3 linked regions of the Oryctolagus cuniculus genome follow. The protein of the gene in region 3 interacts with the protein of the main gene of each other region in a pairwise test. Links are inferred from orthologs where the notes say so. Each region holds a gene or a part of one and is shown on either strand. Other genes may lie near its edges.

Region 1 (5,934 bases), on a different chromosome or scaffold from region 3:
GACACTGGCATCCCAAATGAGCACCAGTCTGAGTCCCGGCTGCTTCACTTCCAGTCCAGCTTCCTGCCGATACGCCTGGGAAAGCAGCGGGAGATGGTCCTAGTACTCAGGCCCCTGCCACCCCTGTGGGAGACCTGGATGGAGTTCCAGGCTCCTGACTTTGGCTTGGTCCAGCCCTAGTCGTTGTGGCCATTTGGGGAGTGAACAAGCAGATGGAAGATATCTCTAACTCTTTCAAAGAAATCAATTTAAAAATCTTTTTAAAAAATAAAACAAAAGCAAAAACAAAGGTAAGGCAATGAAGCGAGTCGTTAAAATTCAGTGTAGCGAATGCTGGAGAAAATGATGGTGCAGAGGGTCTAACCTAGAGGCCCTTAACCTGACCAGGGGAGGTGAAGAAATGTTCCCTCGGATAAAGGGCAGAAGCTGAACCTTGAGGCTTAAGTAGAACTCAGCCAGACAAAGGGTGGAGAGAAGCACACCAACCAGAAGAAAAAGTACATGCTCGGGGCTGGCGTTGTTGTGTAGTAGGTAAAGCTGCTGTATACAGTGCTGGCATCCCATATGGACGCTGGTTCTAGTCCCGGCTGCTCCACTTCCGATCCAGCTCTCTGCTATGGCCTGGGACAGCAGTAGAAGATGGCCCAAGTCCTTGGGCCCCTGCACCCACGTGGGAGACCCAGAAGAAGCTCTTGGCTCCTGGCTTCGGATAGGCACAGCTCCAGCCATTGCAGCCATCTGAGGAGTGAACCAGCAGACGGAAGACCTCTCTCTCTTTCTGCCTCTGCCTCTTTGCCTTCCAAATAAATAAATAAATCTTTAAAAAAAAAAAAAAAGCACATGCTCCCCACCAATTGGAAGTGATCTTTCTCAACACACACAGTCGCTTCCAGGAGCCCCTCCTTGGGCTCCAGCAATACTTAGCATTCTGCACTGACACTGTCTGGCTAGCTCCCTTCTTCCCAAGTCCTGACAGCAGGTCCTGCCCAGGCTATTCTTGGCCCTTCAGGTGGCCCCTAGGGCTGGGAAGGGGCAGGGCGGGGAGGGCTGGGGCAGAAGGAATCTGAGGAACAGATTCTGTAATCCACGGTTGGTCATGGGATTCCCTGCCTGTGACAGCATCACTCTCCCCAGAATGGAAGAAAGCGAGGCTTTCTGGCCAGAAAAAGCAGCACTCATTTCACACTCTCTCTTTGGAAGCAGAGTAGAGGAAAAACAGCTGAGCAGAGCTACAGCCTCAGAAGCTACTCAAACCCCATTCTCTTCCCAGGAGGATTCGGATTCCCTCCTCCTGTCCTTGATAATACATAGACTGCCTATGCTGGGGTCCTGCTGGGGGCAGCCTCCGGCCCCAGGCAAAACGGAACCTGCAGGAAAAGACCCAGCCCCAGCAGGCAGGTTCCACAGGCACAAAAAGTGAGGCGAGGAGAGACAGGGCCTGCTCAAGATCACACAGTGATTCAGAAGCACAGCCAAGACTTGAACCCATGCCTTCCCGCTTCCTGCCTATAGCTGCTTCACACCGGCTCCGCTGTTGGCTCTGCTGTTGCCCTAGCAACAGTTCTTTGGGTGGGAGAACTAAGGAGGGGAGGTTGCATTGTTTCCCATTCCCACGAAACCCAGGGTCTCATTCCAGAGTCTGACTCATTCACTCATTCTACAGCAGAAGAAGGGTAAGAAGAGCCCTAGAGGCAGGACCGACCTTGGCCACAAGGGCAGGACTGCCCCTCCCTGCATGGGAGCCCCAGGGAAGAAGGACAACTGCAGGGCAATTCTTAGAGGGCTTGCACCAGTCTTGCCTCCAGTGGCCCCAGGGAAACCCCTGCCCCACCCCTTGCTCCTCTAGGTCGGAGACTGAGGACTCCAAGCCTGAGGAGGGTGGAGGGAATGCTAGGGCCCCTCTCCTTGTCCTGGCTCAGGAAGGCTCCCTAAGTTGTACCCTTTACATCCAGCCTCATGCCCCAGGCCAGCTGGGTCAAAAATACAGAGAGAGACAATCAGAAGTGAAATGTACCCCTACAGCTTATAAACAGGTGGTCTCCACCGAAGCAGAAGAGAGAGGCAGAAAGACAAGGCGTGGCGCCTCCAGGCTCCTTGTGAGTTCAGGAAGCTCCTGAACCAGCACCTGCAAGTGTATCCGAGGTGGGGGAAATGATGACCACTTTTCTCATTCCAGTGATACAAAACGTATTGTAAAGTGTCCAGCACAGAACAGGTCTCAGTTGTAAAGATGCAAAGTGGTGGTCAGCAGACCTGGGTTCAAATCCTGGCTCTGCTTTTCACTTTTTTCATGACCTTGGGCAGTGAGTTAACCTCTCTGTGCCTGGTGTTACCTGTGTTAGGCAGGTATTCCTTACCTAACAGGGTTGCAAGAGAATATCACATAAAGGGCTGGGCACGATGCCGGCACATACACAGTCAAAGTTCCTTGCAAAGCAGGGCAGTCCAGGTTGTCTCTTTCTAGGCCTTGGGCTAAAGTTTGCACAGTGAGGTCCCCCCCCCCCCCCCAGCATAGCTGGATACAGTCACAGCCCTGCTCTGGGTTTGGCACTTGCCTCCAACCTTCAAGGCCAGGTGCACACTTGGCATCCAAGAACTACCCCCAGGGAGCCTCCCTTGACTGCTCCGCCCATCAAGCTCTCCTCAGAGTCTCTAATTTGGGGCCTGAGCGGGAGCCTCTCTGACCTCCTCCCTTTGCTTCCTCCCAGAACTGGGCACAAAGTGGGGCTCCAGGAAGACTTGGCTGACACACTCACAGTCAGCTCCTGGTCTGGGGCCAGGGAGCAGCGGGCAATTCCTCAGCTCTCCAGAACTGGCTGCAAAGCCGTGGCAGGTGTAAATCACCCCTTCACCGGAACCAGGGCTCTGGGGAGCCACCTAGGGCCCTGGGGAGTCTGTGGGGGGCCCCAGCTGCCCTTTTGGCTCAGAATCTAGACCAGCAGCAACTGGGATAGGGGAGGGCTGCTGCCCTGTGGCCTCTCTTTGCCAAGAAGGTGCGGGGGAGGAGGCTGAGTCGCAGGTGAGGGGACCGAAGCGCCGGCTGCTGTCTCTGCTGAGTCTTGGAACTTTCAAATGCCCACACCAAGTGGGGCTAGGGAACGCGGAGGCGGGGTCTCCAGCGCTCCAGTCCGCTTTCAGCGGCTCTGCCCTTCAGATCTCTTGTGTGCCGAATCCTAGCGAGAACACCCCCCTCCTCACAGGAACCAAGCCCATTCCCAGTTTGCAGGAAGAGAAAGACTGGCTGCCTTGGGATGGGGGCTGGGGGAACGAGTGGCCCCGTACCGGGAGGACGCTGAAGCGTGCTGCGATAGGTTCTCTGAACTTCCCAGCCCCCCCCCCCCCCAATTACTCGGCAGGAAAAACTTCCCAGAGCCTGCGTCTCCCAGCCCTAGTCCTCAGGACGCATCCACAGCGCACTCACCCTCGGGGGACAATTAAAAGGACGTCACCCCACCTCCAGACCGGGCTTTACGACAGATCTGGGAGGGACCCCAAGGAGTTAGGTGGGGACTCTCCAGACCACCTCCGGGGGCGTGAGTCCGTCCCTTCCAGCCCTACGCGGGGGGACTCATCCCGCACACTCACCAGCTCCATCCTCAGCGCCATGATCCTGTCCCCCAGGCCGTGGCCCGTTCCGGGCGACCCCGGGAGCAGCAGGGCGCCAGAGGGTTCCGGCTCCCACTCGCCTCGCAGCCCACGGAGCAGCCCTTCAGGGGTCTTCCTGCCCACCTTGCCCTCCACGTCTCGCAGGTCAGGAGTCTGGGACTCCACCGGCCCCTCCATGCGGGCCCCAAGCGCGAGCGGGGATGGGCGGCCGGACGCTGGGGTCCTGCTCCCGGGGGTCTTTCTGTCGCCCCTGCTAACGCGGAGCGGAACCGGTGGGTCCCCGCCCGGCACTGCGCGGGGGCGGGAGGAGGGCGCCGTAACTCTCAGAAAAGCCGCGCAGAGCCGTGTGAGGCTGTGTCTCCGAGTGCTGCGCACACAACCCCTGGCCCTGCGTGCCGTGAGGCTGGGCGATCCTACGTGCACCCGGAGAGCTCAGCGCCTTCTCCCTACCCCGGCGCTGACTCCAGCTAGGCACGCAACGAGCACCCAAAATAAACGTTTGCTGAATGAAAGCGAAGCCTTAGAGATGTGCGAATTTCAGGAACAGAAGTCTCAGAGAGCTGCACAGAAGGTTTGGAAGGTTTCCTGGAGTAGGCCAGCTGGAACTAAAACGGGCGGGCGGCTAAAATCAAGCTAGCCACCTGCACACACTCCCCGGGAGCTGGAATTCAGACGAAAGGAGTGGATGGCCAGTGAGGAGCAACCAGTACTGAAGCCCCAGGGGCCTGTGCATCACTTGCCAATCTTAAAATGCAGGTTCTGATCCTGTAAATCTGCAGGTGGGGCTGAGATTCTGCTTTTCCAACAGGCTCCCAGGGAATGGTCATGCTGCTTGTGGGTCTGGGGACCACACTTTGAGCAACAGGGCTATAGAAGATGTTTCCAGAGCCAAGGAGGAGCCATGAAAAATTTGGTTTGGTTTTGGCTTTTAACCCAAGCAACTCCAGTCCATGGTTACAGAAGGCTGTACCATGAAGACAGGTGCCCTGGCCCTTCCCTTTCACACCTCCAGGCCCCACTCCCTAGAGGCAACCACTTTTAGTTTTTTTTCCTGGTGTGTACACTCTGAACAACAAATAGGCTAACAGCACCACTTCCTAATTTTAAAAAAAGATTTATTTATTTATTTGAAATACAAAGTTACACACAGAGAGAAATCTTCCATCTGCTGGTTCACTCCCCAGTTGGCCACAACAGCTGGGGCTGGGGACGATCCGTAGCTAAGAGCCAAGAGCTTCTTCTGGGTCTTCCACATAGATGCAGGGGTCCAAAGACTTGGGCTATCTTCTACTGCTTTCTCCCAGGCCATAGCAGAGAGCTGGATTGGAAGTGGAGCAGCTGGGACTTGAATCGGCGCCCATATGGGATGCCGGCACTGCAGACCATGGCTTTACCTGCTATGCCGCAGCACATGGCCCCACCACTTCCTACTTTTAAACATTGTCTATTGGCTTCCTAATGAGATAACTACAGATACCTTTCTCCATGACTACATATTTCCATCATTATTTCTAGTTCATATGATTGTATCCTTTGTAATTTAAGTTTTTCTTAAAGTTTTTTTTTTTTTTTCTGAGAAAGGGGTTTTCTTTTCTCTCTCTTTTTTAAGCATCTATCTATTTGAAAGAGCAATAGAGAGAGGAGGAGAGGCAGAGATCTTCCATCCACTCCATTATGGAATGCACACTGCATCAGAACACCGGTCCCAATGGGAAGGTTTTAAATCAGAGACTGGCAAAACATTTGCCTTTCTGAAAATTTACTTTGCATTTAGCAGGGAGAAAGGATTAGGATAAAAATCAAGGAGACTAGTTGGAAGACAAAAGACTGAAAATGGCTTGAGTCAGGGCCTTGTGAGGTTAGAGAATTAGACCACAATGGAAGACTGTTTAGAAGGTATGATTGATAGGATTACATTAACTTATTTATAGTATTTTTCAATAAACTTTTGTTCAAAAATCAAATGAATGATTTTAACAAATACGATGGAGTGCCTACCAAGTACCAGCCTTGGGAGCAGACTATTTTTTAAAATTTATGTATTTATTAGAAAGACAGAGTTAGAGGCTGGCGCCGCGGCTCACTAGGCTAATCCTCCGCCTTGCAGCGCTGGCACACCGGGTTCTACTGCCTGGATTCTGTCCCGGTTGCCCCTCTTCCAGGCCAGCTCTCTGCTGTGGCCAGGGAGTGCAGTGGAGGATGGCCCAAGTGCTTGGGCCCTGCACCCCATGGGAGACCAGGAGAAGCACCTGGCTCCTGCCTTCGGATCAGCGCGGTGCGCCGGCCGCAGCACGCCTGCCATGGCAGCCATTGGAGGGTGAACCAACG
Region 2 (5,843 bases), on a different chromosome or scaffold from region 3:
ATTGATAGCTCATGGCGATAACATAGTTGAAAGAATACAGAATATTTGCACCACAAAATTAAAGTTTGACCTATAAATCTCAATATAGAACCCTGCACCTAAAAATTAGATGATATACATTGTTCTCAAGAACATGCAGTATTCGTGAGTACAAAGAATCTGTATCAGACCATGTTTTCTGGATGAAATCAAATAAGAAAGCAAAAGCTAGATGACATCTAACACCTCCTGTATTTAGAAATTTACAATCCAGTCCTAAATTACTCATGGATCAAAACAATGATCGATCGTAACAGAAATTAAGACTTTACTACTTCATGATATTGAAAATATCACAGATGAAAATGCATGAGAAAAGGGACCAGTCTTGTGGCCTAGTGGGTTAAGGCATATCCTATGATGAAAACTGAACTAAAGGCAAGTTTATTTAGGTGCAAATTTTTTTCAAAATCCATGCACACTTTTGTCAAGGTATGCATTTTCCATGAACTTTTTTTTTCAAAAAAGGATTTATTTATTTGAAAAGCAGAATTACAGAGAGGCAGAGGAGAGAGAGAGAGAGAGAGAGAGAGAGAGAGAGAGAGAGAGATGTCTTCCATCTTCTGGTTCACTCCCCAAATGGCCACAATGGCCAGAGCTGAGCTTATCCAAAGCCAGGATCCAGGAGGTTCTTCCAGGTCTCCCATGCGGGTACAGGGGCCCAAGGACTTAGGCCATCTTCCACTGCTTTACCAGGCCATAGCAGAGAGCTGGACTGGAAGAGGAGCAGCCGTGTCTCAAACTGGCACTCATATGGGATACCAGCACCGCAGGCGGCAGCTTTACTTGCTATGCCATGGGGCTGGTCCCCTCCATGAGCTTTTTAAGGACTACTGATACAGCCTCCTGTACTATTCCATCCTTCAGATGTGCTAATTGTAAATAAACTCAAACTGTATTCCCCATGTAGTAATTAGGAAGTGATGCATCTGGGGTGTTTATTAACTTTATATATATATATATACACACACACACACACACACACACATAACTGTAGGCTTCTATAATTTCATCTTGAATGATGCTGGGGAGGGGGTGGCAGGAGGGGAGTGGGGAAGGCTTTAAGAGGAATGAAATTACAGTTTCAATTTGGATTGGATTGCATTTTTTTAATACCAGCGAATCAGACTGTTTATTAACACCCAAAAGTGCCAGGAAAAGCTATCAAATCTGCCCTAGATTCTTCCCGAGAAGGGAGATCAGATAGAACCGTTTAAAAAAAGGCAGTGGTGTGGAGAAAAAAAAAGGTGCTATTTCATGGTTTCCCTTGACCAAGCAGTACAGTTTGTTAAAAAAAGATTGAACTAGTATAAAATATTGCTTCAAGTTTTAAAATAGCCACTCCCTAAAAGACTGTAAACCAAGCTAAACGGAGCCAGGACCAACACCATCCGTTCATCTTCATCATGGCAAATCCTCATCAACTTGGTCTCACTTCCTCCCCTGGGGGCGTCTCCCCGCGCCCCCTCCCCGCTGGCCAGAGCTGGAGCCGGACGCCCTCGCGCGCGCGTAAGCGCGGGGCGGCCGGCAGAGGGCGCTGCGGCTCCCCGGCGGCGGGGCTGCGGCCGGCGGCTCCGGGCGAGGGGCGCGGGCCGGGAGGAGGCGCCCGGGGCTCGGCGTGTGCGTCTCCGGGCGGCCGGGAGGGGGTGCGCGCCTCTGCCGCCCCGTGCCACCCCTCCAGCGCGGGCCTCTCGCGCCCGGCCGCTGTCACCGCGCCGGCACCTCGCGGGCGAGGCTCGCGGGCTGCGCTGCGCGCTCGGAGGCCCCGCAGCTTCTCTTTGTCCGGGCGAGGCGGCCGGAGGAGCGGCCGCTGAGGCGGGGAGCGCCCGGGCGTCGTGCGGGCGGCGCGGGGTTCCTCAGCCGCCCGCCGCCCGCCGCCCGGCTGCGCTCGGAGCGGGAGCGGCGGCCCGGGTGGTGCCTGCGGCGAGGTGAGTGCGGGGACGCGGAGCCGGCGGGGGCGGGCGGGGGCGGCTGGGGCGCCTGCGGGTGCGGGGGCGCCGCCTCTCCCGGCAAGTTTGCCGGCTGTCTTTTGCGGCAATCCGTGGCCGGTCGGCGGAGTCCAGACCTGTCAGTAAATCGGAAACTCCAGCTGGGGCGAGGGAGAAAGAGGAGAAGGACGCGTGTTGGAAACGGGGTGGTCGGGATGGCAGTGTCCCGGAGGGACAGCGGTGGGCTTTCGGACTTGGTTCCGGGCTCTATCCGACCCAGGTGAGCGATTCCCGCCCTGCGCAGGGCGCGGCGGGTGGCTCCGGGCGGCTGGGAGACAGGTGCGCGCGCGGAGCCGGCTGCGGGCTGCGCCACTCTCTCGGCCTCTCCAGCGTCCCAGCGCCGTTCCCTCCCGCCCGCCTGCCTCACCTGCTCCGCGGCTCCCTCGGCATCTCCGCCAGGTGCAGCGCGCTGCGTTTCGGAGGCGCTGCTGGGGTAGTTGGAGCGATTCCTCCCCATCCACCCTCGGCTTTGGATAATTTGGTCTGTGCCTTCGTCTTAATTTAGTACGGATGTGTTATTTCCTTCCAGCGTTCTAATGGGGGAGCAGGGACGCGGCTCGCTACGTCTCCCCCCACCCCCCTGTCTCATTCTGAGCAGAAGGAATCGCAGGCATACAAGTGATGTTACTACCGTTCTATTTTAAATACAAACACGGGAAGAACTCTTGCAGCATACCAGAGGCGCCTGTACTCTGTTATATAAGTGCTTTAAAAAAAATCGCCTCGTATTGGTGAAGTTCCGAGTGGATAGCAAAGCAGCTAAGAGAGTGTGGAGGTGGCAGAACCTGCTCATCTCTGCTGTCGACCAAAACTTTGCTTCACGGTAAACGCTGGGCTTTTCAGATGCCACGCAGGAAAAAAACCTCGGAAACCTCACTGGGTAGAATTGCAAAGCGTTTAAGAAAACAGATTTTGTCAGCTCTGTGCTGGACATCGGTGAGCACTGTGTGACCACTTACGGGGGTCTGGGGAGGTCACAGGTATCCGTTAACGACTTTCACTTATTGAATGGTTTTATTTTGATCTCTGATGGAAACCTAGTAATTGTTGAGTTGCCAGTTATCAAAGGCGTCCCAGACACGAAACAGAACCCCCACCCACGCGCATTCATGGTTATTTATTTATTTTTGGGTGAGGAGAAGAGGAAAGAAGAAAAGGATCAGAGGTACTGTGTTAAGGGCCCCTTAGTCCGCACCCCCCCACACCTGCTGTAATTGGTTTGGGGAGATACCCTGGCGTCTGCATTGTTAGTGGTGATTCTGATCCCTAGCCAGAGATGGGACCCATTGGAAAGCATTCTGTGAGTTTGCTGCTTTGTAACTTAAGCCATTCTCTGGTGGTTTAATAAGGTAGGTCAAAAATACATGGGGTTAGAAATACCGGAAGAGAATGACAATAGGAGATTTTTCCAGGAATTCCAGTCCCTGCTGAGACTGGTTGATATCTATCAGGGACCCATCGCTCTGCCTCCTGTGCTGAGCTGGGTGCTAAGTGGTACCCTGGCTCGTGCAGAGGTGGAAGTGAAAGTTGAGTTACTACACAAATTATGCTTTTATGTTTATGTGAGAAAGGAACCACATCTTATTAAGGGTTATTCTCATTCAGGCTTCTCCCCCTCAAATCAAAAACTTATGTTGATATAGATGAGTAAATTCCATGCAGAAAGCTTTTTATGATATTTCAGGTCTGAAATCAACCTGACTGCTGAATCAGTGCTTCTTTCTGCCTTATGTAACTCCCAGGATCCACATCGGAGAACAGCTCTCGTGGGTGGTTTATGAAGGCTTATATAAGAGCTACGACTGTGCTTTTGGTTCTCTCTTAAACTCCCTGTTTGGGCTGTTACATAATTGACTGGGAACTAGGCTGGTAAAGCCCGAATCGGGGGAGGATGCACAAGCCCCGTTCTGCACATGCACTTTTATAATGAATTGCTGCTGCTGAATTAGAGGGAACAGCAGGGATGGTGGTTTGTGAAAGGGAGATAAGAATAGCATCTCGGGGATTGATGTAATAGAGGACTGTTATGTTGAGCGATTTTCTGGAGGTTTGCATGCTGTGGTGGAACCTCTGGTCTGTTGTCTCTCTCAGCAGAGGCGGATTGCCGGGGAGGCTGATGACTCTTAAGCTCCAGGCTTCTTCAGAGCCCCTGGGAGGGGCCCTAGCACTGTGTTTGCAGGGTCACACCTGAGTTTGCAATTGTAAGTTTGGGTTGTTTTTAAACAGATAGGATGCTCTTTCTACCCTTACACACACACACCACCACTATATAAACCCTAAGATTGCACAAACCTGACTCTGCCTCCAGCTGCAGGTTGTGTCCAACTGTTAGCTCATAAAAGTGCCTATTCTTATTTTCCTTCTTGTCATCCTATGCAATGATACAATAAAAGCAATCTGGCCAGTATTGTAGCTGACTTGCTGCAAAAATGCACATTGCTAGAACATAGGTCTATGGGGAGCTATTGAAATCAGGTGGTTGGGGCCGGCTCCGTGGCTCACTTTGTTAATCCTCTGCCTGTGGCGCTGGCATCCCATATGGGCACCCGGTTGCTCCTCTTCCAGTCCAACTCTCTGCTGTGGCCTGGGAGGGCAGTGGAGAATGGCCCAAGTTCTTGGGCCCCTGCACCCGCATGGGAGACCAGGAAGAAGCACCTGGCTCCTGGCTTCGGATTGGCATAGCTCTGACTGTAGTGGCCATTTGGGGGGTGAACCAATGAAAGGAAGACCTTTCTCTTTGTCTCTCTCTCTCTCTCTCTCTCTCTCTCTCTGTCTAATTCTGTCTGTCAAATAAAAAAAAAAAAAGAAATTAGGTGGTTACCTAGAGAGCCAGCTCTTAGCCTCGCCATGTCACAGGAGGCAGACTTTTCTGGATCTGAGTGTGGCCAGAGGTAGAGAAAAGCAGATATGGCCGCTAGACGGGAGCAGAAGGGTTACAGCTCTTCCTTGTCCCAGAAGCAGCCTGCTAAGGGGAAAAGCAATGAGAAATCAACTACTAAATTAATAAAAAGTTAATTGGAACAGATAGCATCAGCTCTATAGGAGATAGTCTTGTGAGCTCTGTGGGGTCAGACTCTGGTAGGAAATTTAAACAGCATGCAGACAAACGAAGATCTGGAAAATCTCTTGCATTTGTTTTCAATGCAGGTCAAGGAGGAATAAAGAATTTTGGCTTGACCCCATGGGCAATTTTTAAATTATTTAAAGTTGATTTATTTGAGAGAAAGAGAGAGCCCCTCATCTACTGATGCACTCCCCAAAGGCCCACAATGGCCAGGACTGGGCCAGGTCAAAGCTGGGGACTGGGAGGTCCATCCAGGTCTCCCACAAGAGTGGCAGGAACCCAACCACTTGAGCCATCAGCTGCTGCTTCCCAGGGTTGCACATGAGCAGGAAACCAGAATCAGGAATGAACTTAGGACTCAAACCCAGGCATCCTAACCAGGATCTTAACTGCTATGCCAAATGCTCACCCCAGCTACCTCTGTTAAGCAGTTTTTATGAGCACATAGGGGGCTTGTTGAAAAGAGTTGAGGAATTTCCCTGAGATAATTTCTAGTTCTTGTTTCCTTCAGATCATAGTGTGTTCCTTCCCACTAGCCCATGTACTGCATCCAACCATCCATCCATCCAGCCTTCTTTCCATCTGTCATCCATCCATCCATCCTCCATCCATCCATTTATTCATCATTCATTCATTCTTTCACCATCACCTGTCATCCGTCATCCATCATCCATCAACTCTATTCATCTGCACATTCATCCATCCTCCACCCACGAAGACTCTTTCCTTAACCAAGTTTTAGTCACACTCTT
Region 3 (5,778 bases):
CAGCACCTCAGGGTCCCTGCTGTGGCAGATCCTGGAGGCAGCCGACAAGACGCAGGCGCTGGACATGAAGCGACACTGCCTGCACATCATTGTGCACCAGTTCACCAAGGTCAGCCCACCCCAGCCCTCCCTCGCCCTGTCCTCGGAGGCCCCACCCCCACCCCTGCCGGCCTGCGAGCCCGTGTCTGTCTCCCGGCCACCTCCGCAGGTCTCCAAGCTGCCCACGCTGCGGTCGCTGAGCCAGCAGCTGCTCCTGGACATAATCGACTCGCTGGCCTCCCACATCTCCGACAAGCAGTGTGCGGAGCTGGGCGCTGACATCTGAGGGCTTGTAGCACCCTGCCCTGTGCGGACAATGACTGTCCCTGCCTGCGCCGGCCATGCAGTGTGCTTGTGACAGCTGCACCTGCTGGGCCAGGGAGCCCCGCCCCTCCAAGAACAGGTGTCCCAGGGAGATGGTATGGCAGACCCCTCCCTACCTGGCACCCTCCCCTGGGGGGGTTGCCACAGGAGGTGACAGATGACCAGACAATGTGGCTTTGGGAGGCTGGGCCTTGCCCCTGTGGCCTGGGTGTTGTGGATCCAGGCACTGGGGCCCATTGCCTGTTTTGGGGAGAGGACTGTGGCCCTAGAGTCGGCCTGGCCACCCTTGGAGCAGCTTGTGAGCAGAGACCAGTGAGGGGCAGGTGTGGTGTGACTCGAGCCGTGATGGGGCCAGGCCAGCGAGTGTGTCCGGCAGTGGGGGGCACCACTGTGCCTCTCCTGGCTGGCAGGACCCCGTGGGGAGATGCAGGGCTTTCCTCTTCTGCCTGTGCTCTGCATAGCGCCCAGGGGGTTGTGGGCAGGTGGACAGGAGGCCCTGGCAGGCAGGGAGGGAAGCAGCCATGAAGCCAGGAAGGAGCCTGCAGAGGCGCTGGGTGCTGGGGAGGAAGCAGCAGGCAGCTTGGAGTCCCCCTTAGCGGGCCACAGAGCCGGCTGCCCCACGGTTTCCACAGGCTGCGGGTCTCACCACACTCCTGGCAGGCTCATCACAACCCCCTTCCCCAGGGCTGGCTTTGCAAACCCCCACGACGATCCGGTGATCCGCAAGGCCCGCTCCTCACTGCCCCCCACCCCGCGACTGTGAATAAATGAAGTGACCGTCTGGAGCTGGAACACTGTGTCTGAGGCCAGAAAGCTTTCAGCTGGGTGGCAGGTGGGACGGGTGGGATGGGTGAGCCCTGCACTCTGACGCTCCCACCCACGGTCCCAGGGTGAACCCCTGGCAGGCCCAGTGTTTGAGCCCCAACCGAGCTAGGCAACAGCACCTCCTGGAATCCACTTTATTCCGGCGTCCGGCCGCGCCCCCAGCCCCCTCAGGCCATGCTGCTGCCCAGCTGCATGGCGAAGTCCTGCACATGCTCCTTCAGCGTCTGCCGGGCGTCGGCCTGAGCCCGCTTCTCCCGGGCCCGCTCCTGCTGCAGCTTGGTCAGCCGCAGCCGCAGCCGCTGCTCCCGCCGCTTGCAGGCTTGCAGCTGCCGCTGGGCCTTGTCCAGGGCGTCCAAGGCCGCCTCGGCCCGGCGCTTCCAGAGCAGGGCGCTGCCCACCTGGTAGCTGTGCTCGTTCTGGATGTAGGCGCCGGCAGGGGGCGGCAGGCGCAGCATGTAGGCGGACGGGGACACGGGCCGCGGCTCCAGCGGCGAGGGCTGCGCGCTACAGCCCGCCTCGTCCGCCTGGGCGCCCAGCGGGCCCAGCAGGTCTGAGAAGGGGCTGCTCAGGCCGGGCTCCAGCCTCCCAGCGGGCGAGGCTGGCAGCGTGGCGGGCGCCGAGGCCTCTTCCGCAGGGAAGCAGCTGACGTCGGCCGGCGGGGGTGGCGAGAACGGGGTGGTGGGCCCCCGGCCTTCGGCGCAGCTGCGGGGACAGAGAGACAGCCTGCCAGCCGGGCCGGGCTGGGGGTGCGCTCCGCGGGGCTGCCGGGCCTCCGCCCGCCGCACCTACCGCTTCCGGCATCGCCGCAGCCTGCCGATGTCCGGGGGGCCGGGCGGGTAACCGTGCCCTTTGCTCTTGGCGCTGCGGCGCAGCTTGGAAAAAGACTCAAAGATGGTGGGGACCGCGCCCTCCTTCAGCCTGTGGTACCCACTGTGGGGAGGAAGCGGCCTGGTGAGCGGGAGAGCGGGTGCTGCCCCTCAACCCCCCACCGCCCGGTCCCGGCGCTGAGGGTGGTGGAAGGCGACACCACGCTTCCCTGGCTTCCCTGCACGGCTCCCCGAAACTGAGGTGTCTGCAACACTCCATCAGCAGCCCCAAGGGATTCCTGCTGGGAGGGCCGGGCAGCGCTCACGGCGGTAGAGGGACTTTCCGGCCCTGGACCTGCCGGTCCTCACGCGGGCTGCTGGAGGGACCCTCTCGGGAACACACGGCCGCCCCGCCCTGCGCGGGCCTGGCCAGGGGGCCCACCTGATTCCCACCAGCTCAAAGCAGTTCTCTTCGAAGTGTTTGGAGCAGAAGTAGATGTACTCGGATGCCGGGTCCCACAGGCCCTGGCCGCTGGGGTCCAGCCGCTGGCAGTTGGCCAGCCACAGGCCTCGCCTCGGGTTGTCCTTCTTGGGGAGTCTGCGAAGCCGTCAACCAGTGCGTGCATGAGTGCCCGGCAGCTAGAGCAGGCCCCACAGCCGCACCCGCAGCGGCCGAGACCGGCGGGGTACGCGCCAGCCCGCCCGGGCATGGCGACGACTGAGGCCTCGAGACGCCGAGCTCAGGGAAGGGCCAGAAAGCAACGAGCCCAAGCCTGCTGGACCCCACCGCGTCCATCTCTCCTGCACTGGCCTCAATCCCTCCGGAACCCCCCACCCCACCGCCTTCGACTGGCACGCGCCACCCGCAAGTTCAAATCCCGCCAGGGCCCGAAAAAGGTGCGGCGCGCATGCGCAAGGCGCGGCCCCAACAGGCGCCTGCGCAAGGGAGCCCCCGCGCGCGCCACCACGCACGCGCGCTGACCTGTGGAAGGAGATGCCGCGGTTGCGCGTCTCGCGCGTGTCCCGTGTGCAGCAGCCGGCGGCGGAGCAGTGACGCGGCATCTGGGGGAGAGGTGGAAGCTAGGTCGCGGGCGGCCGTCGGGGCCCCGGCTGGCCTCGCGCTCTCAGCCGCCGCCCGCACAGGGTGCCCTGGCCCGTCGGGGCTCCCGCTCCCGGCCCGATCGCGCCCAAACCCAGTCACAGCCCGTGTTCTTGACTCCGGTCGGCGGCACTCACGGTCTCGCCATGGCTGCGCCGCCGAAGTCTCGCGAGGGGTGGCGCGCGGCGGAAGTCGAGACCGTAGACACTCGGGAGCGGGCGGCGCCGGAAGAGGGCGTAGCGGGCGCGCCGCGGGGCGTGGGCGGCCGTCGCGCCTGCGCCGTGCTAGTGCTGTGGGCTCCCGTTGAAATTCCCGTTACGGATGGAGCGGCTGCGGCACGGGCCCCGGCCTCCTCCCGGAAGGCCCCTGACTGAGTCGAGGGTCCCGCCCCCGGCCCGCAGAACCGTGCTGAGCTCCTGGCGGCGCCGGAGACGGGGACTTGAGGGGAGGCGGGCGGGGGCCTCTCGAGACGCGCGGGGCGGGGCTCCGTGGCTCCACCCACGGGGCGGGGCCTGGAGGCGCGGGCTCCGAGTCCGGAGGAAGCCGTCCCCTAGTTGCTAGTCCCGGGAGGGGCGCAGGGGCCGAACTGGCACACACGCTGGAGAAGCTCACGTAGAGTCGCACGGCTCTGCCCGAGACCCGCTTGGACGCACGCGTGTCAGAGTACAGCACACGACAGGCGATGGCTCAGTGCCCAAACTTTAATAGGTAAAATAGGTCCTGCAGTGACCCACTGGGAGGGGACCGCAGGTTCTCAGTACTCCTCCCCCTCCTCGGCCTCCGCCTCCACGGAGTCCACGCCCACCTCCTCGTAATCCTTCTCCAGGGCGGCCAGGTCCTCGCGGGCCTCGGAGAACTCCCCTTCCTCCATGCCTTCGCCCACGTACCAGTGCACGAAGGCCCGCTTGGCGTACATGAGGTCGAACTTGTGGTCCAGGCGGGCCCAGGCCTCGGCGATGGCCGTGGTGTTGCTCAGCATGCACACGGCCCGCTGCACCTTGGCCAGGTCGCCCCCGGGCACCACGGTGGGGGGCTGGTAGTTGATGCCCACCTGCCGGAGGAGGACACAGCAGTCAGAAAGGGCGGCTTACTTCTAAAGACAGGCACTGTGTGCCAGTTGAAAACGGCGCCCTGGGAACAGGCCCTTGGCATAGCAATTAAGACTCTGCTGGGGGGGGGGGCATTGTGGCTTAGCGTAAGCCACTGCCCCCCGATGCCAGCATCCCATCATGGGCGCTAGTTCGAGTCCCGGATGCTCCACTTGTTTTTGTTTTTAAAGATTTATTTATTTATTTGAAAGTCAGAGTTACAGAAAGGGAGAGGGAGAGATCGTCCATCCGCTTGTTCACTCCCCAGATGGCTGCAATGGCTGGAGCTGTGCTGACCCGAAGCCAGGAGCTTCTTCCGGTTCTCCCACGTGGGTGCAGGGGCCCAAGGGCTTGGGGCATCGTCCACTGCTTTCCCAGACCACAGCGGAGAGCTGGATCAGAAGTGGAGCAGCTGGGACTTGAACTGGTCCCCATATGAGACGCTGGCACTACAGGCAGCTGCTTTAGCTGCTACGCCACAGCGCCAGCCCATGCTCCACTTCTAATCCAGATTCCTGCTAATGTGCCTGGGAAAGCAGCAGATGGCCCAAGTCCTGGGGCCCCTGCACCCATGTGGGAGACCTGGAGGAAGCTCCTGGCTCTGGAAGAGCCCACCTCTGGCAGTTGTGGCCATTTGGGGAGTGAACCAGCAGATGGAAGACCTCTCTCTCTCTGCCTCTGCCTCTCTGCAACTCTGCCTTTCAAATACATAAAACATATCTTGAAAGAAAAAAATAGGTCATCTGTGTCAAGCTGTCATGAAGGGGGCTGAGAGCGTCTAACAAGTGGTGTGTGATCAGAGGAAGCACAGCCCTCCACGTGGGAAAAGGCAGACACACTGCTCTGGGTTTCTCATGTCATTTTCCATCGGAATGATTCTGGAACTCGAAGCTCCCCCAATACACTGGAACTCATCAGAGCTTACAAATGTGGAATCCACAGCTTTGTCTATGGGGAAAATCACTGGGGACAAGGTTAAAAACCAAAGGGCATGAAGATGCAAACCAGGTGTGTCAGGGCACGCAGCCTGCTAATCACAGTACACCTCAGAGACTAGCTTTCTATTAGACATTTACTGAATTAATTTCTAAACTGGTTGTCATTGCAGTCTCCCCATGGGGTGTGGGCGTGGGGACAGCATTCTCCCAGAGGTCTGCTGCCCACTGACGGGGTGACACCTCCCGGCACCAGGCCTACCTTAAAGCCGGTGGGGCACCAGTCCACAAACTGGATGGTGCGCTTGGTCTTGATGGTGGCGATGGCCGCGTTGACGTCCTTCGGGACCACGTCGCCCCTGTACAGCATGCAGCAGGCCATGTACTTGCCGTGGCGAGGGTCGCACTTCACCATCTGATTGGCCGGCTCGAAGCAGGCGTTGGTGATCTCGGCCACGGACAGCTGCTCGTGGTAGGCCTTCTCCGCCGAGATGACCGGGGCGTAGGTGGCCAGCGGGAAGTGGATGCGGGGGTACGGCACCAGGTTGGTCTGGAACTCCGTCAAGTCCACGTTCAGGGCCCCGTCGAATTACAGGGAGGCCGTGATGGACGACACGATCTGCCCAATTAGGCGGTTGAGGTTGGTGTACGTGGGACGCTCG

Evidence for each region. The genes of interacting proteins can lie anywhere in the genome.
Region 1: the proteins of THAP7 (region 3) and LURAP1 interact in a two-hybrid assay, tested with the Homo sapiens proteins (2 studies listed by BioGRID and IntAct). The two-hybrid records come from large-scale screens. The link is inferred for Oryctolagus cuniculus from reciprocal best matches to the Homo sapiens genes THAP7 and LURAP1.
Region 2: the proteins of THAP7 (region 3) and MTUS2 interact in binary tests that used the Homo sapiens proteins (3 or more experiments, as listed by UniProt). The two-hybrid records come from large-scale screens. The link is inferred for Oryctolagus cuniculus from reciprocal best matches to the Homo sapiens genes THAP7 and MTUS2.

What each region holds. Positions count from the first base shown.
Region 1 is NC_091438.1:126,550,823-126,556,756, forward strand, and holds the start of LURAP1 (leucine rich adaptor protein 1), read right to left. Parts: upstream 3,978-5,934; 5' UTR 3,784-3,977; coding exon 3,586-3,783; intron 1-3,585. UniProt on the Homo sapiens protein: Acts as an activator of the canonical NF-kappa-B pathway and drive the production of pro-inflammatory cytokines. Promotes the antigen (Ag)-presenting and priming function of dendritic cells via the canonical NF-kappa-B pathway.
Region 2 is NC_091440.1:85,728,205-85,734,047, reverse strand, and holds the start of MTUS2 (microtubule-associated tumor suppressor candidate 2), read left to right. Parts: upstream 1-1,866; 5' UTR 1,867-1,967; intron 1,968-2,091; exon of another isoform or gene 2,092-2,247; intron 2,248-2,825; exon of another isoform or gene 2,826-2,963; intron 2,964-5,843. UniProt on the Homo sapiens protein: Binds microtubules. Together with MAPRE1 may target the microtubule depolymerase KIF2C to the plus-end of microtubules. May regulate the dynamics of microtubules at their growing distal tip.
Region 3 is NC_091452.1:29,749,390-29,755,167, forward strand, and holds THAP7 (THAP domain-containing protein 7), read right to left. Parts: upstream 3,562-5,778; 5' UTR 3,231-3,561; intron 3,057-3,230; coding exon 2,977-3,056; intron 2,593-2,976; coding exon 2,437-2,592; intron 2,119-2,436; coding exon 1,978-2,118; intron 1,891-1,977; coding exon 1,356-1,890; 3' UTR 1,309-1,355; downstream 1-1,308. Other genes in the region: LZTR1 (leucine-zipper-like transcriptional regulator 1), read left to right, coding at 29-109, 209-325; tubulin alpha chain, read right to left, coding at 3,848-4,144, 5,379-5,531; tubulin alpha-3 chain, read right to left, coding at 5,706-5,778. UniProt on the Homo sapiens protein: Chromatin-associated, histone tail-binding protein that represses transcription via recruitment of HDAC3 and nuclear hormone receptor corepressors.